Linked DNA regions of Coturnix japonica. The protein of the gene in region 3 purifies or fractionates together with the protein of the main gene of each other region. This does not show direct contact. Links are inferred from orthologs where the notes say so. Each region holds a gene or a part of one and is shown on either strand. Other genes may lie near its edges. The genes, in order: SMNDC1, SNRNP200, SF3A2, U2SURP, PHF5A, SNRPD1 and DHX15.

The links.
Region 1: the proteins of SF3A2 (region 3) and SMNDC1 purify together in Homo sapiens (affinity purification with mass spectrometry; 4 studies listed by BioGRID and IntAct, with this or other methods). This does not show direct contact. The link is inferred for Coturnix japonica from reciprocal best matches to the Homo sapiens genes SF3A2 and SMNDC1.
Region 2: the proteins of SF3A2 (region 3) and SNRNP200 purify together in Homo sapiens (affinity purification with mass spectrometry; 4 studies listed by BioGRID and IntAct, with this or other methods). This does not show direct contact. The link is inferred for Coturnix japonica from reciprocal best matches to the Homo sapiens genes SF3A2 and SNRNP200.
Region 4: the proteins of SF3A2 (region 3) and U2SURP purify together in Homo sapiens (affinity purification with mass spectrometry; 3 studies listed by BioGRID, with this or other methods). This does not show direct contact. The link is inferred for Coturnix japonica from reciprocal best matches to the Homo sapiens genes SF3A2 and U2SURP.
Region 5: the proteins of SF3A2 (region 3) and PHF5A purify together in Homo sapiens (affinity purification with mass spectrometry; 5 studies listed by BioGRID and IntAct, with this or other methods). This does not show direct contact. The link is inferred for Coturnix japonica from reciprocal best matches to the Homo sapiens genes SF3A2 and PHF5A.
Region 6: the proteins of SF3A2 (region 3) and SNRPD1 purify together in Homo sapiens (affinity purification with mass spectrometry; 4 studies listed by BioGRID and IntAct, with this or other methods). This does not show direct contact. The link is inferred for Coturnix japonica from reciprocal best matches to the Homo sapiens genes SF3A2 and SNRPD1.
Region 7: the proteins of SF3A2 (region 3) and DHX15 purify together in Homo sapiens (affinity purification with mass spectrometry; 4 studies listed by BioGRID and IntAct, with this or other methods). This does not show direct contact. The link is inferred for Coturnix japonica from reciprocal best matches to the Homo sapiens genes SF3A2 and DHX15.

Annotation. Positions count from the first base shown.
Region 1 is NC_029521.1:22,832,283-22,836,720, reverse strand, and holds the start of SMNDC1 (survival of motor neuron-related-splicing factor 30), read left to right. Parts: upstream 1-1,616; 5' UTR 1,617-1,736; intron 1,737-1,988; coding exon 1,989-2,108; intron 2,109-4,438. UniProt on the Homo sapiens protein: Involved in spliceosome assembly.
Region 2 is NC_029537.1:1,057,971-1,062,380, forward strand, and holds the start of SNRNP200 (U5 small nuclear ribonucleoprotein 200 kDa helicase), read right to left. Parts: upstream 2,941-4,410; 5' UTR 2,852-2,940; coding exon 2,807-2,851; intron 1,726-2,806; coding exon 1,562-1,725; intron 699-1,561; coding exon 527-698; intron 408-526; coding exon 215-407; intron 1-214. Other genes in the region: protein FAM178B, read left to right, coding at 3,305-3,575. UniProt on the Homo sapiens protein: Catalyzes the ATP-dependent unwinding of U4/U6 RNA duplices, an essential step in the assembly of a catalytically active spliceosome. Plays a role in pre-mRNA splicing as a core component of precatalytic, catalytic and postcatalytic spliceosomal complexes.
Region 3 is NC_029543.1:1,224,559-1,228,712, forward strand, and holds the start of SF3A2 (splicing factor 3A subunit 2), read right to left. Parts: upstream 2,857-4,154; 5' UTR 2,800-2,856; intron 1,978-2,799; 5' UTR 1,927-1,977; coding exon 1,801-1,926; intron 1,396-1,800; coding exon 1,324-1,395; intron 1,005-1,323; coding exon 958-1,004; intron 355-957; coding exon 245-354; intron 1-244. UniProt on the Homo sapiens protein: Component of the 17S U2 SnRNP complex of the spliceosome, a large ribonucleoprotein complex that removes introns from transcribed pre-mRNAs.
Region 4 is NC_029524.1:9,017,411-9,021,096, reverse strand, and holds part of U2SURP (U2 snRNP-associated SURP motif-containing protein), read right to left. Parts: intron 2,138-3,686; coding exon 2,033-2,137; intron 1,772-2,032; coding exon 1,705-1,771; intron 1,608-1,704; coding exon 1,444-1,607; intron 343-1,443; coding exon 180-342; intron 1-179.
Region 5 is NC_029516.1:45,263,138-45,267,371, reverse strand, and holds the start of PHF5A (PHD finger-like domain-containing protein 5A), read right to left. Parts: upstream 2,842-4,234; 5' UTR 2,685-2,841; coding exon 2,633-2,684; intron 2,517-2,632; exon of another isoform or gene 2,422-2,516; coding exon of another isoform or gene 2,370-2,421; intron 2,275-2,369; coding exon 2,251-2,274; intron 1,215-2,250; coding exon 1,048-1,214; intron 1-1,047. Other genes in the region: ACO2 (aconitate hydratase, mitochondrial), read left to right, coding at 3,009-3,044.
Region 6 is NC_029517.1:39,382,146-39,386,286, reverse strand, and holds the start of SNRPD1 (small nuclear ribonucleoprotein Sm D1), read left to right. Parts: upstream 1-1,341; 5' UTR 1,342-1,518; coding exon 1,519-1,532; intron 1,533-2,084; coding exon 2,085-2,161; intron 2,162-3,250; coding exon 3,251-3,442; intron 3,443-4,141. UniProt on the Homo sapiens protein: Plays a role in pre-mRNA splicing as a core component of the spliceosomal U1, U2, U4 and U5 small nuclear ribonucleoproteins (snRNPs), the building blocks of the spliceosome.
Region 7 is NC_029519.1:66,716,239-66,719,924, reverse strand, and holds part of DHX15 (pre-mRNA-splicing factor ATP-dependent RNA helicase DHX15), read right to left. Parts: intron 1,640-3,686; coding exon 1,446-1,639; intron 652-1,445; coding exon 492-651; intron 85-491; coding exon 1-84.

The DNA.
Region 1 (4,438 bases), on a different chromosome or scaffold from region 3:
ATCACAGCAGCACTCCTTGTTCCGTGCTTCCCAGGTCTCTCCCCACACACAAACACAAAGCACCCCTACGCTGTTCCCATGTTAACCTCGAGTTCCTGCTTCCCAACCCTCCCACGCTGCTGGCTCACTGCTTCAGGCTCCTCTAATCCTCCCAGGCTCTTCTACCCACTGCTCTGGCCCTTGCTCTCTATTTCCAGCCTCCCATCATCTTCTCAGCTTTGCTGTCATCCAAGCCTCGTGTGAACAGAAGCAATCTCGGCCGCAGCCTACCCAGCACCCTGAGCTGCAGAACCAGCATCTCCAGGCCCCAGGCAATCAGCACCAACACACTCGCTGACACAGAGTGCCTCGCAGAGAGAAGCCATGCCTTGACGTGGCATATTCCTCCATGCTGGAGGCACACGTCGAGCTGAAAAACCACCTGACAATCTGCCAGTTGTGTATCCTGACGCAGACCCATTGAACAGACCAGCTGTGTGCCGGCAGGTTGGGATTTCCTATGGGAGACACCATTTTGTCAGGATTCACAAAGCTGCCAACAGTAGGTGAACAGAAAACTCAGAACCTCAGGCTCTTCTGGAGCAGGTGATGCCCCAATGAGCGCAGGCTTTCTGTCACTTCTCCCTAATACTGACCTTTTCTTCTTATCTCCACGATGCTCCGCCCTGTCTCTTCATCCTCATTCAATTCTGATTCACCTCTCCCCCTCACTTTGAGTCACTGGGCCTTTTCACTGATGGGGGATAATTACTGTAATCACTCACAGTACAGAACATGTCAGAACTCTCTGTTTCTCCGCTTAGCGCCATACCTCAGGTCGGGTACCGGGGTTACAGGGAGTTTAATTATGTTCAGAACCTAAATTCACTTCACAAACAAACTCCTGTAAGAACAGGTATTTCAAACAGCAAGAATTAGGCCAAGATTCAGGAGTTGTAATGGCAAAAACAAACAAACAAACCAAAAAGAGCCAAACTGTGTGAAACTCCGAGTCCATGATTTGGAATAGAGAGAGAATGGAAACTCCAACCTTGTAATTTAATGGAGCAACAACAGCAATGCCATGAAATATCACAGAACTGCATCTATGGGCAAACTGGATGGCTCTGCCTACAATAATAAACTGTTACACAAAATAAATAGAAAGCATGAGAGGTTAATTTGTTACAGAATCACACAATGACCCGGGTTGGAAGGGACCTCAAGGATCATGTAGTTCCAACCCCCTGCCTGGCAGGGCCACCAAACATACACCTTTACTAGATCAGGTTGCCCAGGGCCCCGTCCAACCTGGCCTTGAACACCTCCAAGGACGGGGCATCCACAACCTCCCTGTGCAGCCTGTTCCAGGGCCTAACCACTCTGCTAGTGAAGAACTTCCCCCTGACATCCAACCTAAATCTTCCCTCTTTTAACTTAAAACCATTTCCCCGTGTCCTGCTATTGTCAGCCCTTTCCAAGAGTTTACTCCCCTCCTGGGAGTAAAAAATAGAACTATAGGAAAATAGAATAAGTCTATTGTGCGCGCAGCAGCATCGCCCCCTACCGGCCATCACCGAGCCGTGCCGCTCAGCGCCGCTCTCTCATCTCGCGATGCCCGGTGCGCGTTGTCCGCCGGCTCCTCCCACTTCCCGTCCCGTAGCGCGGCCCGCAGCTCCGGCCATCAGGCGGTACCGGCCCCACGGCTCCAGCGCGGCGGCCCGGCCCGGCCCTCGGGCCCCACAGCGCCCGCCGAGGTGAGTAGCGGCCGCTCGGTCCCTCTATACCGCCCCGCTGCCTGTCGCTACCCGCCGGAAGGCAGCCCGCGCTCGGGCCTGGGCCTAGGCCTAGTGTTACGGCCCTGCCTCCCCGCACGGCCGGGCCTTGGGAAGGGGAGGGATCGGGCTCGTTACGCCGCAGGCTGCCGTTGTTGTGCAGCTCTCAGTGCAGGTGAAGGAGCTCCGTGCCCGCTGTTGTTGTTATTGTGCTGAGCTGTGTGTTCCCTGCAGATGTCGGAAGACCTGGCCAAGCAGTTGGCCAGCTACAAGGCCCAGCTGCAGCAGGTCGAGGCGGCCTTGTCTGGGAACGCTGACAACGAGGACTTGCTGAAGCTAAAGAAGGACTTGCAGGTGAGGCAGTGGGAGCGGCCTGAGGGTGTTTGGGGGTTTTTTCACCTTTCCTTGATGTCTGTGTGGCAGCTGTCTGTGGTAGAAGTGCCGCTCTGCAGCACAGAGACTCGAATCCCGGGAGTTAGGGATGTTACGGGGAAGTTCTTTACTAGGAGAGTGGTGAGGCCCTGGAACAGGCTGCCCAGGGAGGTTGTGGATGCCCCGTCCTTGGAGGTGTTCAAGGCCAGGTTGGACGGGGCCCTGGGCAACCTGATCTCGTAAAGGTGTACGTGCTGAAGCCTAATGGGTGGCTTAACAGTGCTTCATTCTGCCTGTTCCTGAGCTGTCAAATCCTTCATCTAGGATCCGTGTATTCATTACGTGCAACGATATAAACTTCAGTCTGTTTCTGCATCCCTTGTACATCTAATCCTCTGTTGTGCTAAGAATTATGTAAGAAAGGAAGACAGATGTGTCCTTCATTTGCTACCTGCAGTTTCTTTAAACGTTTGAGCGTAGCACCCTGTAAAAAGCTCAGACCAGTTCTGTGCTTCAGGTACTGTTCAGTGCCAGGAAGACCAGCGGCTAATTTTAAATTGATAATAGGGCTCTTAGATTCTTGTGTATAGAAAGTTACACTGGCATAGAAGAAAACAGCACTGTTCAAATCTCACGTGAGAGTGCAGGATGCTGCCTCCTTTCTGCTGTGGATTGCTTTGACACAGTCAGTGATCTTTAGAATTCCTTTTAAATGATAAAGGCTTGGTGCCCACAGGGCTCTTAGTAGATCATCTGAATGTCCTTTGCTGTACACTGTTAAAAGCATGTGTATATGTTTATATTTTTAAAATGCACAGCCAAACCCATATGGGATATTTCCGATACCAACCCGACCTCGGCTTTGAGATCATTGATGTGAAAGGACAACTTGCAAACTTTTTAATAAAAGCTTTCTGCACAGAATGGGGAAGATGTTTACACTGTCGTCCCCAAAAGGTTTGCTATTCATATGTTCCACCTTGCAAATGACGTAGACAATGTTTTGCAGACTTAACATGTCAACCTAACGATTGTAAACGTGGGTTCAGTGCGTTCTGTCCTGACTATGGAGCTTTTCTTTTGTTCAGACTTAATGTGAAGCTGAAAGATCCTCTTACATTTAACATAGAGATGCACTGCTGCATTTTGTATACTGAGCCTATTCCTGATGAACGGGATTAAAATAAATACGACAAGAAACTTTTACAAATGCTTTGCTCTTTGCCTTTTGTTCCACTGAAGGGCTTCTTTGGACACTGTCCATACAGCAAAGCAACGAACTCTGTGCTTTGTGCGAGGTAGAACTGATGGCAGCCATCACCTTCTGTAGTTGGAGATGGAATATAAAGTTCTGCCTGAGTTTTTTAGAGAGCAGCTGGTGAGGAAAAACCCTGACAGACTCTCACTGGAGTTCCCTGCAGGTCACACTCCCATGCCACACAGACACAGCAGCCCATCCTGCTGCTCAGCTCAGCTCCTGGACTAAGCTGCTGTGGTGTCTCTTGTGCAGAGATGTTCATTGAATAAGCTGCTCCCTTAAAGATTGCTACAGAACGATCTCAGGAAGATTTGTACCAAAAGTTTGCTATTCGTTGCTTGTTGTTTAAATGACTTCATCGGATTTGAAGAATTGCTGGTAGAATGGTTTTCAGCTACTCCCATTTGGAGTTCTGTAATAAACCACCGATGAACGTGATGAGAACATGTCAACACTTCTGTGTCACGCTGGTAGCACGCACAGCAGAAATGCTGGCACTCCATTTACATGTATTTGACATGCTGAGATGGCACCCATTTCAAAGCCTCTCAATTTTCAGACAACATACAGTTGTATGTTGATGGCTGGTTTGGTGTTTCTCACCTGGAAGGAAAAATTATGCAGATATTGTGTTTTCTGAAGAGCTCTCAAACTGGGTAACCTCAGAGTCTGTTCTAGTTCAGCTGTAATGTTACAGAAGTTAGAGATCAAAGTTAAATAGAAATAGTTTTCAGCATGTCACTGTGCTTATAGTCGCTACCCATTGTGATTACTGTTCAATTTAGAAACAAGCAAGTTCTTAAAACAGAGAACAGAGCTTCTGTTAGAAAGGTGCTGACAAATTAAGACAGTAACAACCGCTACAAACAAACAGGACATTCATTCTGGTTGTACAGGTTATTGGATGAAAGTGCACAGAAGGGTACATTGCATTAACCTGCTATCTGGGAACTGCTTACAGTCTTCTTTGTTCTTGAGGAATGAAGAATAGCTTCTTCACCACCATTCCCTCAGCAAGTCTTAAGTCCACAGTTGGACTAGTTCTAGTTGAAAT
Region 2 (4,410 bases), on a different chromosome or scaffold from region 3:
TCTGAATCTCATTGTCATTATCATGATCTGTGCCCATACCCATGTTCTGAATCTCCTTATCATCATTGCAACCTGTGCCCATACCTGTGTTCTAAAGCTCCTTATCACCACCACAATCTGTGCCCATACCCATGATCTGAATCTCATTGTCACTATCACAATCTGTGCCCATACCCATGTTCTAAATCTTCTTGTCACCATAATCTGTCCATACCCATGTTCTGGATCTCCTTGTCACCACCATAATCCGTGATCTTCTTGCCCAGGTTCACCAGCACGTGATAACGGGTGTCGTCAGTCTGGCCCAGCAGCAGATCGATCTCTTTACGTCTCTCCTTATCACGCAGCTTCTCGTTCTTCAGCACTGCCAGCACTTCATCAGCAGCTCCACACAGAATGTCTCGTGGCTGGGGAACAACCAGCAGCCACATAAGCAGGAGATCACCATAGGGGCAGATATTATGGCACAGATATTATCCCCCTTGTGATATGGATGTGCCCCCATCACACACATCCAGCTCCTCACCTGGTCCCCGAGGGCAGCCTGGATGAAGCTCAGCAACACCTCGTAGGTCTCCCGTGTCTCTTTGGTTTTAGGCTTGTAGATGATCCCCACCATCTCGTCGATGCCCTCGGACAGCAGAGTGTAACCCTTCATCTTGTTGATGTCGTGTCTGTCCTCATCGCGCTTCCTCCTCCTGCAAACAGAGAGCACCCATAGCAGCTCAAAGCAGGGAATCCCAGTAATGCTGGACAGCAAAGCGTGGGCCTTCCCTTTGTTAAAAATAAAGGTAAACTCTGCCCCGTTTTTCCTCCTTTTTAGCCCTTTTCCTTTCACTTTTCGCTTCCCGACAAGGAGAGAGAATGAAGCTGCAAAGGGTCTGGAGCCAGTTTACAATGAGCAGCTTAGGGAATGGGGTTATTTAGCCTGGAGAGAAAAGGAGAAACTCCATATCTGCCTCAAAGGAGGACACAGCAGTGAGGGGGGGTTGATCTTTTATCCCACAGCATCACAAGAGACCCCAGCCCTGGGTTGAATTGGGGAAGTTTTGGTCGAGGGGAAGTATTTCTACATTGGGAAAGCTGTGAAGGATGCTGAAGGATCAAAAGGTGTGTGTATGTGGTGCTTGGGGATGGGCTGATGGATATGGGAACGGCTTTGGGGTAAAAGAGGGGAGATTTAGGGTCACCTTCTTCACTATGAGGGTGGTGGAACAGAGGAGCTGTGGGTGCCCCAACCCTGGAGGTGCCAAAGGCGACTGAAGTTGTGTTGGGTATAAGCTGGAGGGGGGCACCAGGGCAGGAGATGAACCTGGGGGGGCTCTGAGGACCCACAACTCAACCACATATAACAACCATATATGTTGGTATCTGACCATACACCAACACGATACCACCACTCAATGCCACCACTCAGTGGTGTATGCACCAATTGGGATCCATCACCTCACAGCTCTTTCCCAACCTCCATCACTGTGTGATTCCACATTGCTTATAACCACTGAAGCCCCACAGCCCCCTCAGAGCCCCCTCCCACCCCCAGGCCCCGCTCAGCTCTCACTTGGCCCGTCGCTCCTCCTGCATCTGTGGCTTGGTGCGCTGCGCCTTGTCTCCCATCCGCGTCCCTTCCAATTTACCCACCAGGGACAACACTTCACCCGTGGGTTCATCGCGTCGCGTCCGGTCAATGAGAGAACGGTCAGCTTGGAGCACGAGGTTGGAGTTCTGGGGGGGGGATGGGGGTCACAATGCATCAGGTGGAGCCTTTATGTTCCTACAGCCTTATTACACAGCCCTATATCCCTCCCACAGCCCCTATTATCCTCCCCACAGCCCTATATCTTTCCTAGAACCCTTATTACCTTCCCCACAGCCCAATATCCCTCCCACAGCCCTATATCCTCCCACAGCCCTTATTATCCTCCCCACAGCCCTATATCCTTCCTACAGTCCTATATCATCCCCACAGCCCTTATTATCCTTCCCATACCCCAATACCCTCCCCACAGCCTTTATCACCCCCCCACAGCCCTATATCCATCCTACAACCCTTATTTTCCCCCCCACAGCCCTATATCCTTCCACAGCCCTATATCCTCCCCACGGCCCTTATTACCCCCCCACAGCCCTATAGCCATCCTACAGCCCCTATATCCTCCCCACAGCCCCTATTACCCTTCCCATACCCCAATATCCACCCCACAGCCCTATATCCCTCCCCACAGCCCAACATCCTTCTCACAGCCCTACATTCCTCCCATAACCCTTATTACCCTTCCTATACCCCAATATCCTTCCTACAGCCCTATATCCTCCCACAGTCCTTATTTTTCTTCCTACAGCCCAATACCCTCCCCACAGCCCTTATTACCCTTCCCATACCCCAGTATTCTCCCCACAGCCCTATATCCCTCCACAGCCCTATAAGCATCCTACAGCCCTATAAGCATCCTACAGCCCTATAAGCATCCTACAGCCCCTATATCCTCCCCACAGCCCTATATCCTTCTTACAGCCCCTATTACCCCCACCCCACAGCCCTATATCCTCCCATAGCCCCTATTATCCTCCCCACAGCCCTATATCCAGCAGCCCCCACCGCCCATAAGGGACGCAGGCCGCACCTCCAACCATCTCTTAAAGCCCCCGGCTTCAAACAGGCCCGGTTTAAATCACCACAGGCCACACAAGGCCCGACAAGGCCTCACTATACGAGATCCGCCATATTGGCCCCCGTTAGACGGGGAAGGCCCGGAGGAATGAGGCCGGCATCCCCACCGCGCACAGGCCCCGAGCCGGCACTCACCGCCTTGTACTCGTACTGCAGGCTGCGAGCGGTCACGTCCGCCATGTTGCCGCCCCGCCACCGCCGTGCACGGGAACAGGCCCTGGAGCTGAACTTCCGGCGGAAGCGGAAACAACGGAAGCGGAAACAGCCCGATCCCGGAAGAGGTTCCGCACAAGGCCTCCCAGCATGCACCACGGCAGGGGCCCGTTGACTGCAGCTCCCAGCATGCACCGCGGCAGAGGCCCGTTGACTGCAGCTCCCAGCATGCACCGCGGGAGGTGGGGGGCGGGGACACTCTCCACCCCTTCTGATTGGCTGAGAGCACAGGTGGGCGGGACACTTCTCTTCTTTAACCAATCCCGTTCAGCGCGCGCGCTGATTGGTCGAACCCTCGAGCCGCGATTGGCTGCCGGGCTCCTGTCGGCAGTTAAACGGCCAATCCCGCCGTTAGTAGCCGCACTTGGTAGCGCCGCCTTTCTGAGGAGAGCCCGCCCTTTTCTCTCACCCCGCCCGCCCATGGCCGCCATGTTGCGCGGGACGTCGGCGCGACGAGGTCAGCGGGCGGGGCTGCTCCGCTGGTACCAAATCCCGCTGTCCTCGGCCCGTGTGCCCCGCTCGGGGCTCTTCAGCTCGTCCTTCCAGTACAGCCTGTGTTCCTACCAGCAGCTCCGTGTCAGTAAACACCTCCGGGTAGGCCGCCCCTTCCTCCCGCCGCCGCTCGGCCCAGTGGATCCGCGGCCTCCGGCCTCACCGCCCCCAATGAGGCCTCAGGGCGGAGCACGGACAGGTGAGAGAGGACGGGGGGGGGACCATGTTTGGCCCCACATAGAGCAACACAATGATCCCCTTGTATAGCCAGGGTCCTATAGAGCCCCCACTGATCCCTATTGAATCCTCAGAGCCCCTATAGAGTCCCCCATTGATCCCTATTGCTCCCCATTGATCCCTATTGATCCCTATTGATCCCTATTGATCCCATTGATCCCTATTGATCCCCACTGCCCCTATAGAGTCCCCCACTGATCCCTATTGAATCCTCAGAGCCCCTATAGAGTCCCCCATTGCATCCCCAGTGCCCCCCACTGGTCCCCATTGCATCCCCAGAGCCCCTATAGAGTCCCCCATTGCATCCCCAGGGCCCTATAGAGCCCCCCATTGCATCCACAGTGCCCTATGGAGTCCCCCATTGATCCCCATTGTATACCCAGAGTCCCTATAGAGTCCCCCACTGATCCTCTTTCTATCCCCAGAGCCCCCATAGAGCCCCCCATTGCATCCCCAGGGCCCCCCACTGATCCCCATTGCATCCCCAGAGCCCTATGGAGCCCCCAATTGCATCCCCAGAGCCCCTATAGAGTCCCCCACTGATCCCCATTGCATCCCCATTGCATCCACAGAGCCCTATAGAGTCCCCCATGGATCCCTATTGAATTCTCAGAGCCCCTATAGAGCCCCCCATTGCATCCCCAGTGCCCCCCACTGATCCCCATTGCATCCCCAGAGCCCCTATAGTGTCCCCCACTGATCCCCATTGCATCCCCAGGGCCCTATAGAGCCCCCCATTGCATCCACAGTGCCCTATGGAGTCCCCCATTGATCCCCATTGTATACCCAGAGTCCCT
Region 3 (4,154 bases):
TAAGAACTGACAGAGACTGAGACGTACTGATCTATTATTAAAATGGCTCTCACTCGACTGTCAGCAATAAAGAGACAACCCATGGGTAATTTAAACAATAAAGGACATCAGGAGATAAGCCCATATCTTATTTATGGATAGCTCTGCTAAAAAGGCTGATGAACAATTCATGCCCACAGCACTGCACTTCAAGCAAGCTCCAGCAGCCACGGGGTATCTGCTATGACAGGCACTGCTGACAAACCTTTGTAACCTGGTCGTCCAATTTTCACAAACTTCTTCACTTCCACTTTGACTTTTTCTGGTGCAGGTTGGGCAGGAGCTTCCTTTGCTTCCTTGGCAGCTCGACGAGCCCTGGGTTCATTGGAAACGCGCAGTGTTAAATGGTTATCAGCACTTGGTTCTGAAGGATACTCTAAAAGGCAGAGTGAGTTCTGTATGACGGAGCATTCAGCACTTCACAGAAAGCATAATGGGAAACTGCTGCTCCTCCTCCACAAGCACCATGGGAGGCCAGTTCCACTCCTTGCCTTGACTACAATCTGTCACCTCCATCACCTCACCCACTCCTAAGAGGACTTTGATGTCCAGCTCCACAGATGGAGCTGAGATGACTTCTTAAAAGTCAAAAAGGAAATGAATTACACAAGCCAGGTATCTAAAGCAGAGCAAACCTGAATTCTTAGATTAAAGCTTACAAACTTTTCTCAAGCTGTATTCATAAAACAGCTTCCCTTACAGTTATACTTAATCTAAATGCCATAGCTGGCTTTGAAGTGGAGCTTGTCAGCACCACTGTTCAGAGCAGAGCTGGTGAATGCCTAGGAAACAAACAGAGACAAAGAGCATTCAAGCCCAGAGTGCTACTACATGATGGAGGCCAAGATTTATAGGTGCTCATTATCTAATTTTAATGTGCCCAAGTAATGGAGAATAACACGGTGGAGAATGACTTACAGATTGGTCTGATGCTTCTTCCCCTGCGTATGTGCCAGGTAACTTCCCTGGGGGGAAAAGAAAGTTATGAAGACTGAACTGTTCCTGAACAGAAAGATATTTGTCACAGATGAGAGGTGACATTTCACACTGACAAAGATATTTTAATCCTCAGAGCACAGCAGAATCAAACTCACAAATTTCAGATTGCTCACAACTGCTGAACTGTCAGAAACTTGTCATGCTTAACACACACAGCCTCTGCTCCCCCCATTGGCCCTCCAGCAATCAGCCAACGGGAACAGCTTCGGTTCCAGCACTTGGAGCTAGAATTAGTCTAAAATATCTGCTGCCATGGAGATCAAGACAGACAGCTGCTCAACTCACCTCATTGTTATGGAGCGTCAGGCAAAGCTTGCATTCATAAGAACCCAAGTGATTTTTCATAAAATAGGGGTCCTAGGAAGAGAAGGATTGAAAAGTTACATGTAAAATCTGCATTGGAACAACTGAACAACCGAGATTCTAAAGCAGAGCTGCACTGTAAGAACTCTATGAGCTCATGGAGTGAAGGGATCAGCACAACACTGCTTTAGGAATATAGAGAAAAAGGAACAAGAGCAGTTGTGTTCACTGGTAACAGCACACCCAACTGCAGCATAATAAGAACCAGTGCCAAGACTGAACATAACAGAAGCCCAGTGCTGGTATCCCTCTGCTTGGCCCTTCCACATGTTGCTCGAGTCCCTCATCAGTGGGAACAGAAGTATTTATTCCACTCCACAGATCCCCACTAAACCTCTCACTCTCTGCTGAGATGAAGCCCTGACCTCACCCCATGTAGCCTGCAGGACTGGGGCTCACCTTGTTGATGTCAATGGTCTCCAAAGCCAGTTGCCGAAGCCTCTCCCTGCGGTCTCGGTTGCTTTCTGAGGCTGAAGCTACGCCTCCACTCCCCGTTTTACCTCCAGGACGGTGCTGAAAATCCATGGTGGGGATTTCTGGGCTTTGGAGACTTCAGGAGAAAAATAAAATAAAAGTCTGGAAAAATGAAGAAAAGACACATAAGTGACAACACAGCCCTAAGCTGGGCCTCGCATTGAGCCCTGCCACGAGGACACGGCCCAGGCACTGCCATTACCTCAGCAAGAGACAAAACCACCCCCAGCCCACCTCTACCCTCTCACACAGGGTCACACACCCCCCAGCCACTAACATGGGGGTCACAACCCCCCAGACACCCCCTCACCCCCCTCTAAACACCCCCATTCCCTCAGCGAGCACCAAAGCTCACCTCAAAGCCCCCTACAAACACCCCCCGAACTCTCCATGCCACTTATAGCCCCCCAGTTTCCTTTTGGAGGGTCCTGTCCCTCCACTAAGAACCCCTCTAAGCCCCCTCACCCCCCTCATTCTCCAGTGCAGGTCACAGGCTCCATAGGTTCCATAGGCCCCACAGGCTCCATAGGTTCCATAGGCCCCACAGGCTCCATAGGTTCCATAGGCCCCACAGGCTCCATAGGCCCCACAGGCTCCATAGGCCCCACAGGCTCCAAATAGGCCCATATGCCACAGCCTCTATAGGCCCCATAGGCTGCACATGCCCCATAGGCCCCACAGCCTCCACAGCCCCCACAGGTTCCATAGGCCTCACAGGCCCCACAGGTTCCATAAGCTCCATAGGCCCCACAGGCTCTATAGGCCCCACAGGCCCTTATTCCCTTAGCGACGGTCACTGCCCCGAAACAATCCCCCACAGGGCCCAAGACCCCCCTCCAGACCACCCCATCCCCTCAATGAGGGTCTCACTCCCCCATATCCCCCCTTTAAGCCCCACATCCCCTCCCCCTAAATCCCCCATACCGCCGTGCTCAGCCCCGCTCCCGGCGCATGCGCTCTGCCCTCCCCCTTCCATCCCCTCTAGTTCCGGATAGAGCACTACCGGGTCGGGTATGGGTGGTTGTAGGGTTGGGGTGGTTGTAGGGTTAGGGGTGGTTTGTAGGGTTGGGGTGGTCGTTTGGGGTCCGACATGAGGTACAACGAACGGGAGCTTGCTGTCCTGTCCAGGCAACCGGCAGAGAAAGCGGCAGAGATCCATGATGAGGGTCCCCAAGAAGGGGCAGCGGTAGAGGGGGGGGTGGGAAGGGGGTGAGGGTGGAAGATGGGGGGGTTAATTGGGGGTGGGAATGGGGAGTGATGGATTGAGGTGTGGGATGGGGGTAATGGGGTGGGGGTGGGATGGGGTGGGGTAATGGGATGGAAACTGGGGGTATTGGGATGGGGCTGTTGGAATTGGGGGTGCTGGGGCAAGAGCTGGGGTGTTGGGATGGGGGTTGTTGGATAGAGCTGGAGGTGTTGGGATGGTGGTAAGGGATGGAATTGGGGTAATTGGGATGGGGGTATTGGGAATGGAACTGGGGTATTGGATGGGGTATTGGCATAGAGCCTGGGGGTGTTGGGATGGGGGTATTGGGATGGAACTGGGGGTATTAGGATGGGGCTGTTGGAATGGGGGTGCTGGGGCAGAGCTGGGGTTTTGTTTGGGATGGGGTATTGGGATGGGGGTATTGGATATGAGCTGGGGGTGGGATGGGGATGGGGGTGTTGGGGTGATAGGATGATGGGATGGGGGTAATGGGATGGAACTGGGGTTATTGGGATGGGGGTAATGGGATGGGGGTATTGGGATAATGCTGGGGGTGTTGGGGTGGGGACAGGAGTATTGGGATGGGGGTAATGGGATGGAACTGGGGGTATTGGGATGGGGGTGTTGGGATAGAGCTGGGGGTGTTGGGATGGTGGTAATGGGATGGAATTGGGGGTATTGGGATGGGAGTACTGGGTCAGAGCTGGGGGTGCTGGGATTGGGGTATTAGGATGGAGCTGGAGGTGCTGGGATGGGAGTATTGGGATGGAAGCACAGGGATCAGAACGGTGTACTGGGATAGGAGCGCTGGGATGACAATGGAAGTCCTGGGGTGGAAGCACTGGGATGGAAATGGAGATGCTGGGAGTGCTGGGATGGTTTGGGGGCCCCACACACGCTGGGCTCGCTGTCACATCACTCCTTTCCTTCTTCAGTGTTAAAGAAGCGCCTCGTGAAGCTCGTGGTGAACTTTCTCTTCTACTTCAGGACGGATGAAGCTGAGGTTCGGATCCTGCTGCTCCTCACACACACACAGATACACACACGCACCTTTTTGCTTCACGTTTATCAC
Region 4 (3,686 bases), on a different chromosome or scaffold from region 3:
AAAATAGTGTATTACAAAAAGACAACAAACCATACTTAAACTCAAGGTCTGGTCTTAATAAGAAGTCTTAACACCACCTAAAACTTAGAAAATAGTGCTTTTAAATTACACACACACACTGTTTGATAACTGAACTCTTCCTCAAAAACCAGAAGTACGATTACACAAAACCTCCACACCTTCTTGGGAAGAGGAGTCTTCAGAATGGACAGTGATTCTGTAATGCAGTCTACAATTTCTTCAGCAGCTTCTGCGTTATTTAGACAGAAAACCATCGCATCACCAATATCATTCTTTCGAGGCGTTAGCCCACGCAAAATTTCCTCCAGCTTGTCTCTCTGTCTGAAATAGAAAGATTACAATACTTTCAATATAAAAATCAGCAGTATTTGCGGAATTTCTATTTAATGTTTTTGATTCTACTGACTTCAGGACTAAGGAAATTTGAAATAGTCATCAGTTCTACTCCTGAGCTATTTTTCAGTGACTCATAACATGCACCAATAAGCCCCTGTTCATCACATAAAGGAATAATGCTTGAAAAATTCACTGTTCAAGTATAAGCTATGAATAGAAATGAAGAAAAAATAGCTGACAAAACAGCCAATGCAGAATATTAATATATCCAAACACATAATAATCAATTTGAACATTGCTTAAGCCTGAATGAAAAATGAGTGAATGGAAGCCGTGTAAGTAATTTATAACATGGAATCAGAATCATCAGATAGAGAAAATTAGTAGAAAGCAATTCTTCCAGGTCTTCAATACAATATGAAGAAATCACTTTTAAAAGAGTATCTTTTTAACCTTTCTAAAAAGGAAAGGGAGTTACATAATATGTAATACATATGTGTTAATGTGTAATAATACCTATGACTTCAGAACCACAACTTGTGTCATAATTATGACGAAAAGGACAAAATGAGAATAAAAATCCACAGGCTATGAATACACTTGGATCAAAGACAGCAAAATTTAAAAAATCATGTAAGTATTCCCATTATTATTGCTATATATATATATTATCCACTATTACAGCCATTCCCATCACACATACAATTCGCTGCAAAGATCTCTGGCAGTCTCTCCCTTTTTGCTAATTAGTAACAGCTCCCTATTTTAATTTCAGAATAACATCAATAAAATTAAGATAACAACTGTTTAGTTCGCTCAGTTCCTACAATGCTAAGATCACTGTTTTGTAACTTCACTAAGAGACAGGAACAGAAAAAAAAAAAAAACAAAAAAAAACCAACAACAACAAAAAAATAAACAACTCTTCTCATACTCCCCATCCCCTTCATACAAAGGCTTAATATCCACTCTGCTGAAAGAACTCATGGTTCAGTGAAGGCAAACCTAACAAAATCCAGAATGTATTTAGCACTAAGAATCATCAAAAAGGCACTAATATAAAAAATAATGAATGAGAGTTCATACTCCTCCTTAAGTGCACCCTTCTTGTTTGGTTCCTCCACGAATGCCTCGGTTTCTTGCTCTTCTGACATCCCATGTAGGTATGGATTTAATGGTGGTGGCCTCCAAAAAGATCCATTTTTGAACATACGGAAATCTTCTGTCCTCCACTTGGTTGGAGCATCTCCCTGCAAAGAATAAGTTTTTGATTTAGCTTTGTTTTGTCTCTTTACTTCTACTTCATAATTCTTAATGTTACAAACTAACACTTAAGACTTTACTGACCTGAAGAATTGAATAAAGCTTCCATCTGTAATACACATGGGCTGGAGTCTGGTTTTCAAACAGAAACCTAAACCAGAGAAGACAGACAAACAAAACACACTAGAAGTTAATTACCTGAAGATAATTTGAAGGAAGCCATAGCAAATATACCCAAACCCTGTTCACAATCACACTCCACTGCACAACCACTGTTGGAGCTACTGCAGCCTCAGCACAAGCTGAGGAATTCATAGCAAAACCAATTCCTATTAGCAGTTCAGAAGTGCAAAACACTGGCTATAGCAAAAGTAGTTTACACAGTTTCAAATTAAAGCAATGTAATAAGCACCTGAACATTGGGTTGTTGATTTCTCGGTTCATGATCATGGCTTCAAACATAGGCCCTTCCCGTACCACAAACTCTATCATTCGATGTATCAGTGCGAGCAAATTCCTACAACAACAACACAGTTAAAGAAAAATTGATTCAGACCTAACACTATATAAAGCTACACTCCATCTAAGATACTATAACTGTGCAGGAGATTATTTTGCTGTATTGTTATGGACTGTACAGAAGATAAGGTAACATGGAACGAATAATAGCCTTGCATCACAGACACAGGCACTCCAAAATAAAAACATGCCTAAGAGCGCTCGAGTAACAACTTAGAAGGAAACCTCATTGCTGAATTTCCACAGCTTAGTCTACAACCATCTCCTGCATAGGAGAAGCTCAATAGTCCTTATGCATAAAACGGGCAACTGAGCACAAAAGTGCAATAAACCCTTATAATTTTAGCCCTCACCTAATGAATCTAGTACTAAGATCCAAGTGTTAACTGCAGTTCTACAAACAAGCAAATGGCTGAATACTGTGTTCAAAACTAAATGCAAATGGTTTTGAATATTCAATAGAAACTGCATTCAGCTCTCAAACTATTCAAGAATAAATGGAAAAGCAAATAGCCTTCTTGATGCCAAACAGAGCAGTGGCTCCTTTCAATTTGGGTAAACTCCTTTTGGTCAAGACTCAAGGATGAGATGCTGAACAAAATTGTTCATCATTCCATGTCACAGTACTCAGTGTTTCCTTCCTACCACAATCAAGAGAACCAAATCACAATTAAAGAAAAACATAAAAATCTGTATTCATTTTATTCAGCACTACTTCCTGAGACGAGCAAGAAGCATATTTGAATTAACTGCATGTTTTTGAAGCCGCATTTGAAAATGTAAATTCATTTATAAATGTGCTAATGGCTTACATATATATATAACTATATATATATATATAGTTATATAAGCTTTATAAATTAACGTTCTTTCAATTTCCAACCTTTTTGTTCTGTGGATTTTTTTCCCCTAGAAACCACTTTCTAAATGTTTCAAATAAAGATTATCCACACATATCAAAAACTTCACAGCACGTGCCTTCTGAATGCGATGCAAACAAAAAAAATACAGATTTTTACATTTTTAAATAAATTTTCTCAAATGAAACAAACTGGCACGGGTCTTTTAAACTAAAGCTCCCTATAGTAGATTTTCATTATCAGAATTCAAAATACTTGCATTGAAAAGCTGAATATCTTTCTATCAGATCTTGGTATTTAGGTGATTATTTTCCATCATGTGTAATCAAAAATTTGTCACAGATGCAACATATTAGATAAAATATAAAATATAGCAATAAAAAACCTGCCCATCTATCTGCAAACTTGGCAAACGTTTTATGCCAGCCAGCATTAATGTCTCTTTTCCTTTCATATCACACACACAAAAAACCAAACTGATATGTACAGCTTAGCTGTCCTATACTTCCACTTTTTATGACATCCTCAACACTTTAAGGAGGACAGTATCAACAGTTCTTCAGCCATTTTATTCAAAGCAGCATTCTGAAAGTCTAAATAGCAAAACTGTTCTTGTTATATGAACTGTATTTGAAAACACACATAGAAAAATTACAATGCTCTTTCACATCTCTGAGCTATCACAGC
Region 5 (4,234 bases), on a different chromosome or scaffold from region 3:
AACTGATAAACTGCCAAACAAGTTCTTTGGTCCCACAGACAAGACAACAAAACTACTGCTTGTCACAGCACTTCTAGATGTAGAAGGCAGTACCACCAACAGCATTTCTATCCACATATAATACTTAGATACTAAGAAAGATGGTGCTCCCGCCAGATCTACTGACTAAATTCAGACACGGGCTTGCCCTGCAAGACCTCTAGAGAAAATATGGGTGCTGCAGAAAATTAAAGCAGCAGCTCAGTCAGCTAAGTACATTCCTCTAAATCAGAGCTGTTTGTCAGCACACTCTGCTGACATCAGGGTGTGCTGGAGATGGTGTTTGCAAAGGATCCAGCCCCAAAACCACACAGCCGATACTCTCCATTGGGTCCATACTCTGACACACTGCAACCGCAAGCATCACGTTCTTGCATTTCCCTACAGTCTTTCTACTACTTCATTGGCAGTTCTTCATGACTTGCCCTCACTATGATGGATATTATTGAATACCTAGAGAGCGAGCATCTGCCTTGTCAAAGGACGAAGGACACTAAGGGCTAATTTTACTGTAACACAAAAGTAAACATGGGTGGTGATTCTGTAGGCCTTATGGTACCATATATGCCAGTGGCATGATCATACCATGTATGGTATGATCACGGACACAGTAAGAAGCTGATCCTGCCACTGCCTTTGCAACGTCTAAAGTGTCTCTGCTGCTGATAAAACTTTGGCTGAGAGATTTAGTAAGATAACAGCTGAAAGTGGTAACAAGCAGAGCGTGGAGGAAGTGAACTGTGAGTATGCATCGTAAAGCACACAAGGATCCTATGGGATACAGAATCGAGGCACTGCTCGCTACCTCAAAGTGCTCCACAAACACTGGGAACCACCGACAGAAAAAGAAACATGCAAGGAAATGAAAACCAGTGCCAGTTCTGGGAGAGGAACCCAAGCATCCAATGTCCTAACATTAATATCACTTGCTCTAAGTCCCTTTAAAGATAAGCATAGCTATTAAACAAAGACATAAGCAATTCTACAGGAGACTGGATGACAACGTACATCTTTTTCCTGGATGGTGCACTCCTTGCAGTAGTAGGCATCAGACACCCCTGGGCCCCCGCAGATGACGCAGCGCCCTTGGTACGAGCCGTAGTTACACTCATCACATATGCGCACCAGGGTGCAGGGCCGCACGTACGAGTCACAGATCACACATTTGCCATCACCTGCAAGTACAGCAGTCTTTGGTTACAGAACGTCCTTTTCTCCACCCCACATAAAAGAGGAAAAGTCTGCTGGACAAAGAACTTGCCTGTATGCTCAAAGACAACGCAGTTAGACTGCAGAACTTTAGCTTACAGGCACAAGGTGCAACTTTATATTTACACAGACTTCAGAGGAACGAGGGCCAACAGCCAGCCATATCCAAGGCCAAAAAAAGGGCAAACCGGCATAAATTGCCACTTCACAGAGTTGCTCTTGCTTTCTCACAAGGGACTGAGAGAAATACAAGTGCTCTTATCATACAGGCAAACAGCCATCAGATGCCATGGACAGTCTCTGCTCTGCGGGCCCCGATCCAAAACTCTGACCTCCAGATGAAAGGCTTCAGATCTTATTACCAGTTCCCAAGGTATTTAATCCTGACTCTCACAAACAGCTCATTTAACCTGCTCTTCAATCTCAGTCCCAACTGCCCTCAGCTACTACCACTGGGAATCCATTTAACTTCTGTGTACTTCTGAAAACAGTTCAGTTGCTTCAGACTGTGCTTCTCCTCACTTCGCTTGTTTTTAACATTTTTTGGAGCCTAGAAATAGCTGGCTTACTTGTACTGAGCTCCTGCAAGGATCTAATGACCAATTGTGCTTATTCTTTTCTGCTATAGGTGAGCACGAGCACAGAATTATAGGGGTTGGAAGGGATCTCCAGGAATCAAGTCCAACACTTTGGCCAAAGCAGGTTCCTTGCAGTAGGTTGCATAGATATTTGTTTTTGCATATTCATCTGCTGTAGCACTTTTTTCCATCCATTTCCCATTCTAACAGATGCTGAAGGGAAGCTGTGCGGTCTTTTTCTCGCACTTGCTCCATACACTCAGGCCAACACACAGGTCACTCCTCCCAGCCCAAGCTGCAGTTACCTGCTATTTCTATTTGGTTGTGACCCCAAGTCAGCAGCAGAGCAAAAAGAGAAACCGAGCTGCAGGCACTTACCACAGAGTTGGGTTCTCAAACAACTACACGCAGAAGATGTACTTACATTTCTCACAAAGCCTTCCAATTGCTGTAAGGGGAAAAAGAATGCGAAAAAACACATATTACTTGAGGCTACATTTAGAACGCAAATACAAGCGACGCCTGTCCTCAGGGCACACCCACCCGGCCCACAGTCCCTCCGCACGGTGTCCGGCCAACGGCTCCCACCGGCCATAAGGAAACCCGCACTCAGCGCCGCATCGCGATCCCCAACCACATCCCTGCGGCCTCGGGGAGCGCCACGAACCCCGAGCTCAGAGGGCCGAGGGAAGAACGAGGAGCTGCGCGAGGGGCCTGACGGGCACCTAACGGGCACCTAACGGGCTCGAACTGCCGCCCGAGCCCACCGTCAAGGTGCGGAGGGCCACGACCGCGCCGGTACTCACCGACGCCCGCCTGCTTGCGGCAGAAGATGAGATCCGGATGGTGCTTGGCCATGGCGCCGGCGACACTTCTCGGTGCTCTGCCGCCGTGTCCCGGTCCTGTCAGGGGTGTGGAGAGCGTCCGACAAAGCGGCGCTCCGGGAGGGGACACCGACCCGTAACCGAGCTCCGCATGGTGCTTCAAACCCAATCCGCCTCGCTGCTCCCTTCAACGCGGGGAACGCCCGTACCCCCGCCATGGGAACGCCGCTCTCTCCTCCGGTACCTCCCTGCCAGGACCCGCTGGACCCCGCCCCCTTCAGCCTCCTCCCGCGCCAGAGGTATCAAAAGGGCGGACTGACGCCATCGGGGCGCGACTTCATCTTTGTCAGTGCACAAAATGGCGCCGTACTGCGTCCTGGCGGCTCGGCTGCGGGTGAGCGCCGCGGGACGGGCGGGGCCGGGCGAGGCCGGGCTGGGCGGTGGGGTGAGGGCCGCTGCAATCCTGGACGGAGGGCAGAGGGAGCGCGGGGCGGCGGGCGGAGGCGTGGGGCCGGGTCTCCGCTGTCTGCGCGTGTAGGTCAGCGCGTCCCCGGCGCGGCCCGACGCCCGTTTCCATGGCGATGGCGGGGCCGCACCGGCGGAGGCGGCTCGGCCGCCTGATGGGCCTCGGTGTCGGGCGGGTCCCGCCGCCTCCGGGCACCGCTGAGCCTCAAGGTGAGCGCAAGGTGACCGCGCCCGGGTAGGCCGAGATATCGCGCCTGGGGCCGTGCTTCCTCCTTCCGCGGGCTCCTCCTCATCTCGTGCCGTTAGCAGCCTGTGCCCTTGGCTGCCCGGCTCCAGGACTGCGGCCTTTCATGTGGATGGGAGTTCCTAGATCTGTTTGTTAAAGGGGCCGTGCAAGGCCAGGCGGCCACATCAATTATCTTTTTATTATTATTATTTTATTTTCCAAATGGCTTGAATCTACCTTCATAATGACTCTCCCAGTCTTCTCCATTGTGACCTCTAAAACCCACGTCTGCTTGTGCCCATCACGGGCACTACAGTACTAAGGGCATTATCCCGTTTACTATCTACTCACTAATAAACACTTGATTGTTTTTTAAAGCCTAGAAGGCAGTAGAATGCCATTTTCTCATGTAGTGCTGCTTGCTGTGCTGCCCTCAGTACGTGCCACATGGTGAAGCTGAGAGCTCGGACTGCTCCATTTGCCAGCTGTGACCTTGGGGAGGGTGTTCCCTCTACCCAGGGAGCTGCAGCAATAACCTTATCAGAGAGTCACAGAATAGCTCAGCTTGGAAGGGACACGTGAAGGATCGTTGAGTGAGGTGCTTTGAAAGCACTTTGTGAAGAAGGCAGTGGGCGTAATACCAAGCTTGCCAGAGTTCAAGAAGTGTTTGGACAATGCTTTCACACATAGGGCCGGCTTTTTGGGTGGTACCACGTGGAGCCAGGAGTTGGGTTTGATGATCTTTATGGATCTCTTTCTACTCAAGATATTCAGTGATTCTATGGTTCTTACTCACATTTTATGTTATTACTTTGTTGCTCTCGGTGCAGATGTCTTAGAAAAGGACTGTTTTTTAAAGTAAAACTTACAACATGGCATCATTGCAGTTATCT
Region 6 (4,141 bases), on a different chromosome or scaffold from region 3:
AATGTAAAACTCCTTGCAGGGTTTATCAAACCTTCCTTATGCTAAAGGCCCAAAGTTCTCCATCACTTTAAGAATGGTTGCAATGCAAAGGTGAATTTGGTATTGTTTTTGCTAGTCAGCTGCTTCTGTTCTTGATGTTGTTGGAATAACTCACAAAAAAAAGGAGTATGGATCAGAGGAGGAGGTGTCACCCTAATGCCATGTTGCACTTGGGAGCAGCTTCTTGCTTTTCATGCATGATGTAACACACTTTAAAAGGAAAGGTTTTTTTCTTTAAAAAGCTACAAAATAACATGTGCTGGTTAACAATAAATGTGTGTCTTTAAATTTAGTGCTTCCAAGCTGTATAAAAAACAAGTAATCCTACTTGAGGACCAATTTTAAACTATTTTGTCACTTATTTTATATGGTTTGTTCAAAACCAGCCGTGAAACTTGCTTAAGGCGCTGCACATTGTTTAATATTTCCTGTAAGTACAGCTGTATATTCAGATTGCAGTTATAAAATGTAAATGGGGGGAGAAACGTGTAGAATCTTAGAGCTAGCACAGTTGTTGTTACTGAGGTTAGAACACAAAGCACTGATACTCCAGTGTTTCACTGTGTTGTGACTGAAACTGTGTACAGACTTTTGCAGTTATCTGTTCATTTTAACCTTGAATGTTGCTGGAGGCTTCTGGTTCTATGTGAGCATAACCTGCACATAAACATCAGTACTCACCATGCCTCTGTCTGCTTCTCGATGCTGTGCTGGGAATACCAATTGGTGGTTAACTGGAAACTCCTCTCTGACTTCATTTACCAGTGTCACCTCTGTCATAGACTCAAAGTGCAGGAACACCATAAACTCAGTATGTAATGGTTCTTACGGCTCTCGGGCAGCTGCCCTCTCAAACTTGGTTCTTTGCGGTTTGTTTAAAGCAAAACATAAAATAACAGATTTCATGTGGAAAAGAAGAGCTGTGGTGTGTGTGTAGGGATGGAGGGAGAGACGTGGGTTAACGTGGGTTCTCAGAGCTGGAGGGCAGCCAGATCTCAGTGCTTTACAAAAAGAGTCTGTATTGCAGAAATCACAACAGTGTACTCATCAATGATAATAAAAGGTCTGATTTTTCTAGATCCTGGCCGCTGCGTTTGTGTGCCTGAGCTCCTTATCAACTGCTTAACGTAGAAGCATCGCTGGTGCGGACTAGACTATTTGCACACAGCTACAGTGCTTAGATACGTATAATCCCGAGCCCACCATTCCAAAATGGCGGCAGCGCATCCCCTCAGTGCCCGCCCGCCCTCAGCCCCGCGCAGTCGCGCTGCGTCCCGCCCCTTCCGCCGCGCCGCTTCCGCCCATTGATCGCAGCCGGCGGCGGCCGCTCAATCTCTCGGGGCTCGGTGCGCTCGTTGGAGGCCGCGTTCCTGTCCGCCCGCGCTCGCGGCGCTTCCGCCGAGGCCTTTTCGTGCCCCCAGGGGCGGCCGCCGCTGCCCGCCGAAAGCCCCGCGGCCGCCGCGCCGTCCCGCCGGCGCAATGAAGCTCGTCAGGTGAGCGGATGGAGGCGGATCGCGGAGAGAGGCGGCGGGGAGCCCGCGCAGGCCGCCTCCCCCTCCCCACACACAGGCCGCCCGGCCTGTCGGGGCCTCGTTGCGGCCTGGGCTCTGCGGCGAGCGGCTGGGCCTGCGAGCGGGGCTGCCCGGGAAACCACCCCGGGGGGTTGGGGGCGGAGCCGGGTGGAAGCGCCTTCACGCGGTGCCGAGATCCAAAATGGCTGCTGCTTAGCTGGTGGTCAGAGAGCAGCCCGAGTTGGACGGGATGCACGAGGGATCCCGAACCCAACTCACGCAGGGCGCTCAAAACACAAACCCTGTGACTGGAAGCGTTGTCCCGACGCTGCTTGAGCCCGGTGCCACCGTTTCCAGCCCCTGGCAATTGGGCGCCGTTTGGGGCTTTGGCTTTGCCCCATGGAGCACCTTCAGTGCAGTTCATGGCAGCTGAGAACGTTTGCGTTAGGATGTACATCGATCGGTTCCCCGTATCAGCATGTGGTTGGACATAAGGCTTAGTGTGACAGCAAACACTCTGTGCTTAATTCCTAGGTTTCTGATGAAGCTGAGTCACGAGACTGTGACCATCGAGCTGAAGAACGGGACGCAGGTGCATGGCACCATCACAGGTACGGTGTGCCAGCAGCCTCCCAGGCTGATCTGAGCTGTGTGGGGTAAAGGAAACCGGTGCTGGCGTGGCTGGTGTAAGTGTGGTAATCTGAAATTACTGCAGCAGCATGCAGGCATTGTGAGACAGTGTCACTGCTGTATCAAAGGGCAGTGGTCATACAGCCTATCCACTTATGTTTCAGAACATTTTGGGGCTGGAACTTGAAGGTCCCTTCCAACTTAAACCGTTCTGTGATCTCATTGGTAAAGCTGCAGTACACTGTAGTTGCATCAAGAAGTCACCACTGAGTCACTGGCAGAGAGATATTTTTCTAACGGTAGCACAGATAAATGGTAAATGCTGAACATGGTTACAATCTACTGAGATGTAAGGGTTAAAAGCACGTTATTTTGCAGCCAGATCCGTCCATTTTGTTAGAAGCTGGCTGTGGTGGCAGCACTCTGTGCCTCCTACCCTTGTACTCTCACAGCCTTCGCTGTTGAGCAAAGTCTCTCTCATGCTGTGCTAAGAACCTGTAAAACCCTGCAGTGCCATCCATGGTTCTAAAATGACAGTCATCCCTGTACATGGGTGTACGAAGCCTGTTGCAGCCACGGTGCCACCTGCAGTTGGTGCTTCTGATGCTGATGTTAGATGTGTTTGATCAGAAGATCATGGTTGTACTTAGAAGGAAACGCAGTGTTATTTTTCTACTCAAAAGTTCGTTTTCTTTCTTTTGAAAGGAGTAAAAAAGACAAATATTATGCTTTTGTAGTAAGTGGCAGTTTATTTGTTGTCCGGAGGAATCATTTTAAGTGTTTAGTGTTGCTATGACTTAAGACCTAGGAACAGATCCCTACAGCTGGTGGTAAGTGGCTCTTCCTTTGGAAATATATCAGTGTTGAGGGCAGCAGCTGATAAATCAGCATAATTAATAGAGGAAAAAAAGATGTAGTTTCTTCTTCCACTTAAGAGGCTTAATTAACAAATGGCACAGATCCAGAAGCGTGTGTTAGCAAAGTCTTGAAGCACGTGCACAGTTAATAATAGCCAAAGAGGAGTCATCCTGTGTGTTCCCACCCCTGAAATCAGCCTTGTGTTATTTCAGGAGTGGATGTCAGTATGAATACTCATCTCAAGGCTGTGAAAATGACGCTGAAGAACAGGGAGCCTGTACAGCTGGAGACATTGAGCATTCGGGGGAATAACATCCGATACTTCATCCTACCAGACAGTTTGCCCCTGGACACCTTGCTAGTAGATGTTGAACCAAAAGTCAAGTCCAAGAAAAGAGAAGCAGGTGAGTGCATGATTTCCCAGTCTCTGCTTGTTTTACTTTGTGTTTTCGTGCTCTCGCTCTGAAGGCATGTGATTGGAAATCTTAATTTCTGTATTGCTTTCATCTCTGAGGGTTTGTACCGAACTCTGCCTTGTGTACCTTCATTGTGTCTGTAGTCTCCTTTCATGAGAAGTTATTTACACAGCTTCTCATGCATCTGTTTTAAAGTGTAAACGTCTTTAAGTGTGAGTAAATCTTAACCTATGGCATTCTCAGAGGCAGCACCAATGGGATGCACAGTTTCTCTTTTCAAAATGTCTGCTCTGTTTCCCTGGTTTCTGTGTGTAACTTTGTATTTAGCCTAATAAGAAAATATAGAGCAGCCTCAGGAGCGGTGCTGGACTGAAATCTCACTTGGCAGTGGATACAAACAATCTGCTGGAGAACCGAATTGAAGGGGCTTCAGAATGCAGAGGGAGCTGAGGCTGTGTTCCTGTGGATAAAGCCCTTAAAGCCTAACAGAATAGGGAATGCTTCTGGTTTTGTTCTGCGCCGTTAACAATTAATATCCAGTAAACTCCACAAAGTTTGTGTCTTCAGGCAGTAAAAGTTTTGCCCAGCAGTGTTAATCAGTGTGTCTTTCCAGAAATAAGTTAAAGGTAATCGTGCTCTAAAGCAACTGCTTGCCATTTCTCCTGTAATTTATGCTTAATTATTTGG
Region 7 (3,686 bases), on a different chromosome or scaffold from region 3:
GCGACCCGGAATAGTTAGAAGAGGGCAGTTATCAAAGTAGACCTGAAACTTGCCAGCATCTAAAGTAGCACTCATAACTATAACCTGTAGGTATAGACAATAAAAAAGTTACCCCAAAGGCTGACAATGACCTGAGAAATGTTACACAAACAAAATACAGCAGCAGGAAACTAAACTCAATGTTAGCCATGATTTAAGCATGTTTCTATCACTATAGTACAGCACCTTCATTTCCATGTCCAAAAAACCATCCTAATTAAATATGGAAAGGTACAGATAACTGACTTTCTAGTATTTTCTTTAATACAAACTGCACTTAGGCCTTCCCTAGCATTACCTTTCTAATACAGTTCACCATTAACAGATCAAAAAGCCTCTCGATCTTTGTCAGTTGATTATTTTTCTTTATAATTACCTAGTGGTAAACGCATACACACTCTTCTTCAGCATGGCTGAACACAAAGATGTTGCTAGGCTTCATCATTACTGACCTTCAAATCAGCTCTCTGTCTTACAACTTCTTTCAAAACTCCCATCAAAATATCCGTAGCCAGTGTTCTCTCATGGGCCTCGTCAAGAATTATAACACCATAGCGCTCCAGCAAAGGATCATTCATTGCTTCACGAAGTAACATACCATCAGTCATATACCTGAATACAAAGACAATTCTATTTATTATATCTGATAAAGAATCCCCTTTCTTATTATTTATGAGGTTGCTTGAAGAAAGCCTTTATAAACCTTGTTTTTAGAATAGAAGAACTATTTCCAGCAAAGCAACAAATCCGTTTTCATTTTCACACAGAAGTTACCATAGGGTATATAAATGAAATCCGGCAGTAGAGATTAAGCTTAAAAAGTGAGAGGGTCAACAAGTTTTGGCAACATTAATGAGTAGTTTTAAGACTATTACTGGCAAACTTCCAGATCTACATTTAAAGACAGGGAAAAAAAAGGAAAAAAGATACAACTCAAATCCTAGAAACACTACTCCTGCAATAGTTTCGTTTTTAACTGAGCACTGTGAATGTGATCTGCAAACCACATACTAAGTGAGCTTGGTTTCACCTACAAAGCAGTGGAATCTGGAATAGCTAATAAATGAAACACTAGCATACATAAACTTCAGTTATGTGCCATAGATTTAGGCACAGATCAGTTCTGAAGCTTACTAGTACCTCTGCTTACTAGTGAAGTAAACTCCTAAACTTCACCAGAATTATCTTGGGTACTAAGTTACCACTGATAGAAGTCAACTCAACACATCATTTTTCTTTAAGAACAACTCATTTTCAAGTCTACGCCACACCCACGTTCTATATTTCTTTCACCTGACACTACAGCTTCCATCTCTTTTCCACTCACTCTTACTTCCTCATTACTCTTTCCAAAACCTTGCTAACATCCTCCACAGGGATCTTTATTGGACAGTCACCGTACTTACTTGAGAATGGTTTTTGCACTACTGCAGTCTTCAAATCGAATTGAGTAACCAACCTCCTGGCCCAGCATTACATCCATCTCATCAGCAACCCTCTGTGCCACACTCATTGCAGCCACTCTCCTCGGCTGGGTACATGCTACTCCCCTCTTTGGTCCAGGTAATGAGCGCATGTAGTCAACACACCATTGAGGGATCTGCCAAGAAATAGAAATAAAACAAAATTAGTTTCAACCACAGCTTCAATATCCAGATGCAATAAATATAACACAGTGGTTATATCAAATAAATATATTCATAATTTCACTGAGGTGACAACTGTATGTACAGAAATATCCAGAGTAGAAAAGCAGAGTATTTAGACTCAACACAATTAAGTAAACCATGCTCACCTTAAGCAAGTATGTAACTATCTCTGAAGTTATCAAGGAAATAAGAGGCTCACAGAACCTCTGAGCACTGTTAGTTCAGTAGCTTAAAATTATACTTTGCATTTAAAAAAAAAATATATATCTATATAATATATAATATATATATATATATATATATATATATATATTGTTCATTAATGTAGATTAATGAAAAAAAAAAAGATATTTTAATTATATACAACTTGCCTACCCAGGAATCATGACAAATAAACAAGATATGCTAATTTGGTTAACTTCTGTTCTTTGGAATTGTTATAAACTAGATATGAAATCCTAGTGTTTCAGTTTCTGTAACAACACGCTTTTTTGCTTATTTGTCAGGCACTGGTTTTCCAAGAAAGTCAGAATAATAAACAGCTTTACTTTGAAGACTTTGCAAGGTCAGTAACAGCCTGAAGAAAATGTAATATTATTAACATGTTCCATGTGATGTTTCATGAGGAGACAACTTCCAGGCAGAGCCAGTCCTAAGTTTACAGATGATATAAAATCTATTCCTCCTTACTAATTGGTTTTAACTATTATAAAAGGCTCACAATTACAGAAAAAGAAAGTGTTACCATTCATGAACCAATACAGAATAGCAGGAAGAACTGTGTAGTTTTAAGTAACCTAGGCAGATTTTCCTTCTCAAATGCTGTATCTCTACAGCAAAATGGAAACAACTGAACATATGCACAACAGACAATTGTAGACTAATGAAAAGCTGTTTTATTTTTTTCTTAAAAAGGAGAACATACCCCCCACTGTAAGTACAGAAATAAAATTTAAAAAAAGCAAAGATTAACAACTGAACAAAAGAACTCAGAAAATCCTATTCAAAACTAAAAATACCAACAGCTCATAAATACTGAAGACATGAGTCTGGAATCCTACCCAGTAGCACATACACACTTTCCAGGAGTGGAGTGTAGAAAAATGAAGCTGCTTCTCAAGTGACTAATAAAAACTCAACTCTGAATGAGGAGAAGCTTCTTAACTTTAAACAAAGCCAATCCTGACATCAGCTTTAAAGCAGGTTTCTCAGGACACAGTAAAGGGAAATAAAAATAATTTAGAGGCCATTTTCAAAGAAACAACAAAACCTACAATGCTGTCACCAAATGAAAGACAAAGCCTATGTAGACTTCAACACATGAATCTGATTTAGAAGACCATCAGAACAGTTTTCATGTCTCACTTTAAAAGAGACAAAGGACCATGATGTATGTTTGTTACTTGAGTGATGATCACTTTCAGGAACGTGAAACAACTTCCATCATCTAGATCTTACAGACCAAAGTTAACTCCACTGATGCAAATATAAAAATCCTAAATTTCCTTAATAAAAAGGAACCTCAATTAAATCTCAACCTCAATGACTTCAATAGAGAGATTTTCAAAGATAACTACCAACCAAAAAAAAAGGGGGCAGAGAAACACAGAGACCTGTGAGATCAAAGATGAAAGCAGTGAGGATTGTTGAAGTCCATTTTCAAGCCAAAAGAAAGGCACATTTTTTAAAGGAATGTAAGACAGGAGAGGAAGGAGCACTGTTCTGCCTGTTCTGAGATACTTCAATCCAATGAACTTTCTGTGTAAAGTTAGGGTAGAATTCACAACTGTCATTGGTTAATAGTTGAGTCCAACTTTTACTCATGTCATCTCTCTTGTAGGCTACAAGGACAGCAGGAGATAAAGCCATGCTCAGTATAATCACAGAATTGTAGGGGTTGGAAGGGACCTCTAGAGATCATCGAGTCCAACCCCCCAATGCTGCTTCTGAATTTCCAGAGCCACAAAACCTTGCAGGAAAGTGGCATCCCTTGTTATG